2 linked regions of the Arabidopsis thaliana genome follow. The protein of the gene in region 1 interacts with the protein of each later gene in a pairwise test. Each region holds a gene or a part of one and is shown in the gene's direction. Other genes may lie near its edges.

Region 1 (5,563 bases):
ACCTCAACTTTGAATTATCCTCGGATGCAACTTATTTTCGAAGCCTAGCTGGAAAATTGCAATAACTCACCATCACTCGGCCGTATATCCAGTATGTAGTCAATTTTGTTTGTCAACGAATGCATGCTCCAATAGTTGCAGATTTTGGTATTCTGAAACGAATCCTGCGGTATATGCTTAAATCATGCATTTGATTAGGTTTACTTTGCTTGTTTCGCAAGTATTCTTGTTTCATCACGATTCACGAACGAATGTATTTTACGCTAAGTAGAAAATTTTTATTTGTTAGACAGTTATTGTACAATTCAATGACTGATGTTGTGGCAAATTTGTCAAAATTTATCAAACTTTTGTCAGAGATAGTATTTGACAAATTTGTCAAAATTATATACGTTCTGACCTAAAATTTTCGAAGAAAACAAAAACGTGTTGGTAATATAAAACGCGTAGGAATTTAGAAAACCAAATAATTTGTGAACAGATAAGATTTGATATGGGATTCGAGCGGCGAAAGAGTTAAAGAAAACAGCACCGCCCAACAGTCGTCAATGATTACAATTTGTTTTCAGTTCATAAATTAATCCAATGAATTGCTTATGAACTGACGATAAAAAAGAATTGCTTATAACTTTGTGAATAGGAAATAATAAAGTATTTGTGGTTACAGAGTTGTCTTTATGCAATATACAAAAATAAAAATCCGAAGGAAGAGACGTTGTTAGGTCTTAGAATTATGAACAAACGTGTGGGTTGTCTCTGTCTCTTGTAAGAAACCAAGTCATACATAATTTGCATATATAATATGACCGACCAACCAAATAATATAATGTTATGGGCTCTTAACAAAAACATATATAAATAGTCATTTCGTTGTGACAAGAAAAAAAAAATAAATAAAAATAATAGTCATTTCGATATTTTGTTGGTTGGCTAGTGAAAAAATTGCCTTAAGCGCATTATCGTTTTTTCACAATAAAATTGACTCATGAAATATGGGAACGAGAGTTCTATAAAAATTACATTTTGGGTAGGCCCTACACTGATGACTATAAGGGCCCATAAAGCCGTAATGGGCTTAAAGGTGGACCACATCTGGACCATAAAACCAGGCTGTCTAACTGGTATGCAGCTGTAGTCCACGTGTCATATCATTTCGTCATTAAGAAAAATTCTTACTAAATTAGTGATTCAATCCTTTAAATCCAGTGGTCCAATTTTTCTTTCCATAAAGAGTTAAAGACTATACTAAAAAAAAAACACTGCATCATTATATCAATCAAAAGGCTAAATTTTTAACTGTTCACGTTTTTAATATTACGTATATAGATTAGAGATCATGGGATGATCATTAGAGATAATTGATGATTAAGTATGACACGTGGCGGAATCTCAACGGTACTTATTATACAGCTGTGAATTTGTAGGGTTTGACGTAGACTTGTGAATTGTGATCTTTCCCCAGCATTTAATTAGCTGGCTAATTAACCTGCAAAACTCAATTTTTTTTTGTTCTAATTTAACTCATTAAATCCCTAAAAAATTGCATTTCAAGGAAACAATATTTCTTTTAGGATAAATAAGAAAAATAATTAATTCTTAACGGGCAAAACTCAAACTTTAACTTTAAAAAAACAAATTCATGAAAAAATTGCATGTGAAGGAAACAATATTTTTTAAAAGTTTTAATTAAAAAAAAGGTAATCTTGAAATGGATGAAACATTCATTTCATAGTGTTTAGTTTCCAGAAAGAATCTCGTTTTTTTCTGCTGTAATTTTTGGGGAATTATTTTTTATCTGTCGGTTTTACTTTTCCTTCTTTGAAAATTTGTAATTTTCTTTGGTTTCACAGCAAATTTTTAATCAAATTTTAGATGATAAAAAAAATGGATGAGACATTCATTATTATTTTTCAAAGAGATAAATTTATTTATAAAATTGAGGAAAAAAGATAAATTATTTAAAGAGAGAGTGCAAGTAGGGAAGAAGTCATCTTCTTTTTATTGCTTCAAGAGTCAATCATCTTCAAACCTAATGATCTTCAAAAAAATTTCTGGTTATGCATCTCTTTCTTGAAAAAATAATCATATAATCACATCAAAAAGAGTCAATTATCATCTTCATTATCTTAATATAATCAATCAATAATTCAATTTAAAAGGTAAATTAAAGTAAGCAATGTAGACCCAAAAAAAAAAGTCTGCTTTTGTTTCAAAACATATAAGGACAGTGAAAGGGTTTGTGCATAAATGTTGTTGCTTCATCTTTCTCATAACATTAGCTATGAGATTATGAAAGTGAAGATATAAAACAAACACCTAAAAGTGAAAAGTACAAGACACCAAATCCTTCATTTTCATCTCTTACACAACCACACTAAGTTACCAAAAAACAGAATCTGTTCTTTTTTTGCCTTCTTGCAGATTTCTTCAGAGTCAAAGACACATAAAGGTTCGATTTTTATCTCTTAAAATCTTCAAAGTTTTCGTTTTTCTTTTCAATTTCGTTGAATTTGATTCTGGGTTTTGTTCTCTGTTAGTAACTGAATCTATGTCAGCTTTAGATAATTCTAGTTAGGGACTTATGGTTCTCAATTTCGAGTCTTTTGATGTTATCTTGTTGTTTTAACGGATTTGAATCTAAAATCTTGGTCTCCATTGATTCAGATTTATAATTGAGTTGTGAGTTTTGGAGGCCATGGACGTAGGAGAGAGCAATGAGAGGGTAAAAGACGATTCTGCCCTTCAAGCTTCACCGAGGAGTCCTCTGAGTTCTATAGATCTTGCAATTGATGGAGCTATGAATGCTTCTATTGAGCAGTTGTATCATAACGTTTGTGAAATGGAGAGTTCTGATGATCAGTCTCCGTCCAGGGCGAGTTTTATTTCGTATGGAGCTGAATCTAGGATTGATTTGGAGTTGAGGCATTTGGTTGGAGATGTAGGAGAAGAAGGAGAGAGCAAGAAAGAGATTATCTTGGAGAAGAAGGAAGAAAGTAATGGAGAAGGTAGCTTGAGTCAGAAGAAACCTCTTTCGAATGGTAAGAAGGTTGCGAAAACGAGTCCTAATAATCCGAAGATGCCGGGTTCGAGGATCTCTTCGAGGAAATCACCGGATTTGGGGAAGGTTTCTGTTGATGAGGAGAGTCCTGAGCTTGGTGTGGTGTTGTTGAAGCAAGCCAGAGAGTTGGTTTCTTCAGGTGAGAATTTAAACAAGGCTCTTGATTTAGCGTTGAGAGCGGTGAAAGTGTTTGAGAAATGTGGGGAAGGAGAGAAACAACTTGGGTTGAATTTGGTGATGTCTTTGCATATCTTGGCAGCGATATATGCAGGGTTAGGGAGATACAATGACGCTGTGCCTGTTCTTGAACGTTCTATCGAGATACCGATGATTGAAGATGGTGAGGATCACGCGTTGGCGAAATTTGCAGGGTGTATGCAGCTTGGTGACATGTATGGTTTGATGGGTCAAGTTGAAAATTCGATTATGCTATACACCGCGGGTTTGGAGATTCAAAGACAAGTTCTTGGAGAATCGGATGCACGAGTTGGCGAAACTTGTAGGTACTTAGCGGAAGCTCATGTTCAAGCAATGCAGTTTGAAGAAGCCTCAAGGCTTTGTCAAATGGCATTGGACATTCACAAAGAAAACGGTGCTGCCGCTACAGCTTCTATTGAAGAAGCTGCGGATAGAAAACTGATGGGACTTATCTGCGATGCGAAAGGTGATTATGAAGTTGCGCTTGAGCATTATGTTTTAGCGAGCATGGCAATGTCATCTCAGAACCATAGAGAAGATGTTGCTGCTGTAGATTGCAGTATTGGTGATGCTTACATGTCGCTAGCTAGGTTTGATGAAGCGATATTCGCATACCAGAAGGCTTTAGCTGTGTTTAAGCAAGGAAAAGGTGAGACTCATTCCTCTGTTGCTTTGGTTTACGTTAGGCTTGCTGACTTGTACAACAAGATTGGGAAAACACGCGATTCCAAATCGTACTGCGAAAACGCTCTCAAGATTTACCTAAAACCGACTCCAGGAACTCCTATGGAAGAGGTTGCGACTGGTTTTATAGAGATTTCTGCGATATATCAGTCAATGAATGAACTTGATCAAGCTCTTAAGTTGTTGAGACGGGCGTTGAAGATATATGCAAACGCTCCAGGTCAACAGAACACGATTGCAGGTATTGAAGCTCAAATGGGTGTGGTTACTTATATGATGGGAAATTACTCCGAGTCCTACGACATATTCAAGAGCGCGATATCAAAGTTCCGCAATAGCGGAGAGAAAAAAACCGCTCTTTTCGGGATTGCTTTGAATCAGATGGGACTAGCTTGCGTTCAGCGTTACGCGATCAATGAAGCTGCAGATTTGTTTGAAGAAGCGAAAACTATTCTTGAGAAAGAGTGTGGACCGTACCATCCCGATACATTAGCGGTTTACAGTAACCTTGCTGGAACGTACGACGCAATGGGAAGGTAAATTTGGAACTTAAAACAATTTTCTTGCTAGGTTATGTTTTTTGGTATTTCCCTGCGGTACAAGCAATGTGTTACTTGCTTTACAGGTTAGATGATGCTATAGAGATATTGGAGTATGTTGTTGGGACAAGAGAAGAGAAGCTCGGGACGGCAAATCCCGAGGTTGAGGACGAGAAGCAGAGGCTTGCTGCGTTGTTGAAAGAAGCTGGAAGAGGAAGGAGTAAAAGAAACAGAGCACTTCTTACCCTTTTGGACAACAACCCTGAAATTGCAAATGGACAGAGACCGGTTTATTGATTAACCGGATTATTGTCCGGTCTAAAATGTATATATATACAAAATACAAGTTCGAATACGGTACTTACACGGTCGAGGGAGAAGGAAAAAAATGAAGAGGCTTTATGTTTTCTAGTTTTATAAAAAGTGAAGGAAAAAAAAAAAAATCTTGCATTTGTTTTCTTTATAAATAAAATGTAAAGAGTAAAACGCAATTGATTTGGTCGTTTTGTAATGTGATTTACATTGAAATTTTGGAGTTTAAAAATCTCCTTGATGGCAGTTTCTCTAACTTTGAGCACTGATCTTGAGTAAACAACAAGTGTTTGGTTACTAAAACATCTTGTCTGGTCTTGTCATGTAATGTTCATGAATGTCAACAAAAAACAATAACCGAATATACACATACATATGTAGCATGAGAACATAAAGAGACGACCCACCGAATCAAGAAGTTGTCACTTAGCAAAGCAACAAAAGAAAAGTTGTCACTAAGCAAAAGATAATCTGAACTAAGCGGTTTAAAATTTCTTACCAAACAAGTTACTGATTATTTGATATAGTCTTTTATATAATAACTAATATGATAAGATGTGAATAGAAACATTCTGCTTAAAGCTGCATATATTGTAACCAATGACTTTTTGAAGAAAATTTTACATTGATTCAAAAACAAAAAGAGAGATGTGAATAGAAATTTTGGCTAGTTACTTGAAAGCACCAGAAATATGCTAGACATTTATTAGTTTATATCATGGCAACTTATTTTTTCGTGAGTTTACATGCTTTTTGGGTAGGGAGAGGTGGA
Region 2 (3,989 bases), 6.2 Mb from region 1:
TTTTCAGTGTAGTCGGTACAACTTGAATGTGGTTAGTACTTTAATACTTTCACCTTCAATTTTCCTTCTGAAGAGTTATTATAAGCTGCGATTGAAGATGTGATTACTTTTTCATTCATGTGATATTTTGCAGGTTTCTGTTGGAAACGGGTGGGTGCTCTTGATAACGAGTGCAATGCTTCTATCTTGAGGCATGTCCTTATTTTAAGATCCACCTCATTATTCTTTTGTGTTGTAGGTTGGTGATGGGTTGGTTAAAATTTAGGGAAGCTGGAAGGAAATTTGATTGTTTAAACAGCTTGAACACTGTAAGAATTTGAACATAAGATTCACTTTTTATATTGGCATCAGGAAGTATAACTCTGCAAGTGATTTCATTTCAGGCATATCCCGTTCCTGTTCTTGTAGAGGAAGTCGAAGGTACATATATTTGCAATCATTTTAAGTGATGCTTTATGCTCTTTAGAGAAGTCAAATCCTTATCTCAGCTGATATCAGGAAGTATAAGATTCACTATCTATGGTGGCATCAGGAACTATAATTGGATGTCATTTTCCTGCTTGCAGATATTGTTAGCTTAGCTGAGTACATACTGGTTGTGGAAAAAGAAACAGGTAAGAAAGACCTCTTATTTATGTAGTAACTAGGAAGATGGTTTTCTTTCTTCATGACTAAATCGCTTTCATCCATGGTTTATAGTATTCCAGCGTTTAGCAAATGACATGTTTTGCAAGACGAACCGCTGCATTGTTATCACAGTAAGAAATCTGCTTCATTCTTACTGATTTCAGTTTTGACTAGTTTTCATTTCCATTTTATGTTTGACATCAAAGTTACGATTGTTTTTGGCAGGGAAGAGGATATCCAGATGTCTCAACAAGAAGGTACATAACTTAATCCCAGGTTCCTGGAATACTATTTTATCAGACATTATCTTCTATTGATTAATATATCAGCGAATAACACAGATTCTTTCCAGGTTCTTGCGACTCCTGATGGAGAAGTTGCATCTACCTGTGCATTGTCTAGTCGACTGTGATCCATATGGCTTTGAGATCCTAGCCACATACCGTTTTGGCTCCATGGTTAGATTCTGTTACAAAATATAGATGACTGAACTCGGAAAATTTCACCGCTTGCATTGTTTTTGTTGATAGTGATAATGTGATATGGCACTGACCCATTTCATTTTGAACCATTTTCCTTATGTCACTTGTTTTCTTTCTGTAAGCAAATGGCCTATGATATTGAATCATTACGAGCACCAGATATGAAATGGTTGGGAGCTTTTCCTTCAGACTCTGAGGTATATAGTGTTCCCAAACAGTGTCTTTTGCCACTGACAGAAGAAGGTAAGAGATCATTAAACACCTTATCGCCTTAAATCTTTAGATTTTCCTATTTTTCACTGCTTCCTTTTTTGAGATTGTAACAACTTCCCCGGACAGATAAGAAAAGAACTGAAGCAATGTTGCTTAGATGCTACCTGAAGCGTGAAATGCCACAATGGAGGTATGAAAAACTTCCCTGACTTTTTTATATTTACATTTCAACCAAATGACAAAAACTAGTCTTGATCAAAACGATTTTGGTCGTCTAAGGTTGGAACTTGAAACGATGTTGAAAAGAGGGGTCAAGTTTGAGATCGAAGCACTCTCAGTTCACTCACTGTCCTTTTTGTCAGAGGTATATATTCCTTCTAAGATTCGTCGTGAAGTAAGCTCTCCTTGAGCTTCATACGAGATAACTAGTCTCCAACTCAAGGTAATGCTCATTGTTTTTTTTATGACTCTTTCTAAGCTTTTTAGTGCAAACCAAATGCATTGGTAGAATGGACAAATGAACATAGTTTTAATGGAAAAATCATAAATATACAGATTATAAAAAATAATTCTCAGTTTTTAATTTTTAATAATACAAAGTACATTCACTAATGACTAATGAGTAATAAGTTTGAAATTTTGAATAATACAAAAGTAATTTAGGGTTCATTTGCTTTATATTGTTACCAAACCTAATTTGAAGTATTAAAGCCGTTCCCCTGACTAAAAACCTTTGAACACTCCGATCCAAAAAAAAGAAGAGAAAAACCTTTGCATACAGCTAAAAACGATGTCGTCTCTCTCTCGCTTTCTCCTTCGTGGCAACTTCAGCTTCAGCACCCACACGAATCGCCGCTTCTTCTCCGCCGTTACCGCTGCTGCAGCCACACCCTCGCCACCCAAACCGTCCCTCATCACCCTCGTAAATGACGAACGCGACCCCAAATTCATCACGGAGAAGTTCAAGAAAGCCTGCCAAGCAGAGTGGTTCCGGAAGAATATAGCTGTCTATGAGAGAACCGTTCGCCGTCTCGCCGCAGCCAAGAAGTTTGAGTGGGTCGAGGAGATCCTGGAGGAGCAGAACAAGTATCCAAACATGTCAAAGGAAGGATTCGTGGCGAGGATTATCAATCTCTATGGACGAGTCGGTATGTTTGAGAATGCACAGAAAGTGTTCGACGAAATGCCTGAGAGAAACTGCAAGAGAACAGCGTTGTCTTTCAACGCATTACTGAATGCCTGTGTGAACTCCAAGAAGTTTGATTTGGTTGAAGGTATCTTCAAGGAGTTGCCAGGTAAGCTCTCGATTGAACCAGATGTTGCATCTTACAATACTTTGATCAAGGGATTGTGTGGAAAGGGTTCCTTCACTGAAGCTGTTGCGTTGATTGATGAGATTGAGAACAAGGGTTTGAAACCTGATCATATCACCTTCAATATACTTTTACATGAGTCGTATACAAAAGGGAAGTTTGAGGAAGGAGAACAGATATGGGCTAGAATGGTAGAGAAGAATGTTAAGCGAGACATCCGTAGTTACAATGCTCGGTTGTTAGGACTAGCCATGGAGAATAAATCAGAAGAGATGGTTAGTCTCTTTGACAAACTTAAGGGTAATGAGCTCAAACCTGATGTTTTCACATTCACTGCCATGATTAAAGGATTTGTCAGTGAAGGAAAATTAGATGAAGCCATAACGTGGTACAAGGAAATCGAGAAGAATGGTTGTCGCCCGTTGAAATTTGTCTTTAACTCATTGCTTCCTGCAATATGTAAGGCGGGCGATTTAGAGTCTGCTTATGAGCTCTGCAAGGAAATATTTGCTAAGCGTCTGCTAGTCGATGAGGCTGTCCTGCAGGAGGTAGTTGATGCATTGGTGAAAGGGTCCAAGCAAGACGAAGCTGAAGAGATTGTCGAGCTAGCAAAGACGAATGACTATTTGCAGTGCAAGCTTCGTCTCTTTCCCAAAGAGTAGTTAATTGGCAAGGCTTATTGACTAGTTTTTAATTTAGTCTGTGTTTCCCTCTTTTTAATGTCTTGTTGCAAACTGCGAGTGCGGTGATTTAATAATTGAACTATCTCTATCTGTAGTGTGTTTGTGTTGCTTTCAATTCTCAAAGTTAAAAGAAATTTTCTTATTTCCTTTTCTGGTTAGAGAACGGCATGAATTTAAGATTTAGACACAAAAAACGCTGCGTAGTCCAGGAGTAGAAACGGCACGCTGTTTTATTTTGTTTTTCGCATTCACTGCATAAGACCTAGCCGGAGGAGCACTCTTAAGTCCAAAACCCTAAACCCTCACACTCAACTCTGACATTTTCACCACCTGCACGAAGCTATGAGCAAGGTAGGCTCGTCGCTGTACAGTCGCCTCCATGGAATCTTCAAAGAATCTTCAATCGCCACTGCTAAGTCCGCAAAACCCAGAAGCCAAACCAAATCCACCAAATTCCCTAGTAAATTGAAGGCATCCACCGCCTCTGTAGGAGACGGAGGTCAATCGTCGAATGACGCCAAGGATTCTAAAAATTCGAAATTGACGCAGAAAGTAGAGAAGTTCAAGAGATCCTGCGAGTCTGAGAGTTTCCGGCAAGTCCATGGACTCTACAGTGCGTTTATCCGCCGTCTCAGGGAAGCAAAGAAGTTCTCAACGATCGACGAAGTTCT

Evidence for each region. Proteins that work in one complex are often made in the same cells at the same time.
Region 2: the proteins of KLCR2 (region 1) and AT3G13160 interact in a two-hybrid assay, tested with the Arabidopsis thaliana proteins (one large-scale study listed by BioGRID).

Annotation. Positions count from the first base shown.
Region 1 is NC_003074.8:10,379,726-10,385,288, reverse strand, and holds KLCR2 (Tetratricopeptide repeat (TPR)-like superfamily protein), read left to right. Parts: upstream 1-2,039; 5' UTR 2,040-2,449; intron 2,450-2,630; exon of another isoform or gene 2,631-2,664; 5' UTR 2,665-2,695; coding exon 2,696-4,476; coding exon of another isoform or gene 4,477-4,480; exon of another isoform or gene 4,481-4,565; coding exon 4,566-4,776; 3' UTR 4,777-5,059; downstream 5,060-5,563. Other genes in the region: AT3G27950 (GDSL-like Lipase/Acylhydrolase superfamily protein), read right to left, coding at 5,518-5,563.
Region 2 is NC_003074.8:4,229,302-4,233,290, reverse strand, and holds AT3G13160 (Tetratricopeptide repeat (TPR)-like superfamily protein), read left to right. Parts: upstream 1-1,882; 5' UTR 1,883-2,112; coding exon 2,113-3,297; 3' UTR 3,298-3,462; downstream 3,463-3,989. Other genes in the region: ATSPO11-1 (Spo11/DNA topoisomerase VI, subunit A protein), read left to right, coding at 1-31, 134-150, 239-308, 384-420, 567-614, 700-758, 853-884, 980-1,085 and 3 more; AT3G13150 (Tetratricopeptide repeat (TPR)-like superfamily protein), read left to right, coding at 3,661-3,989.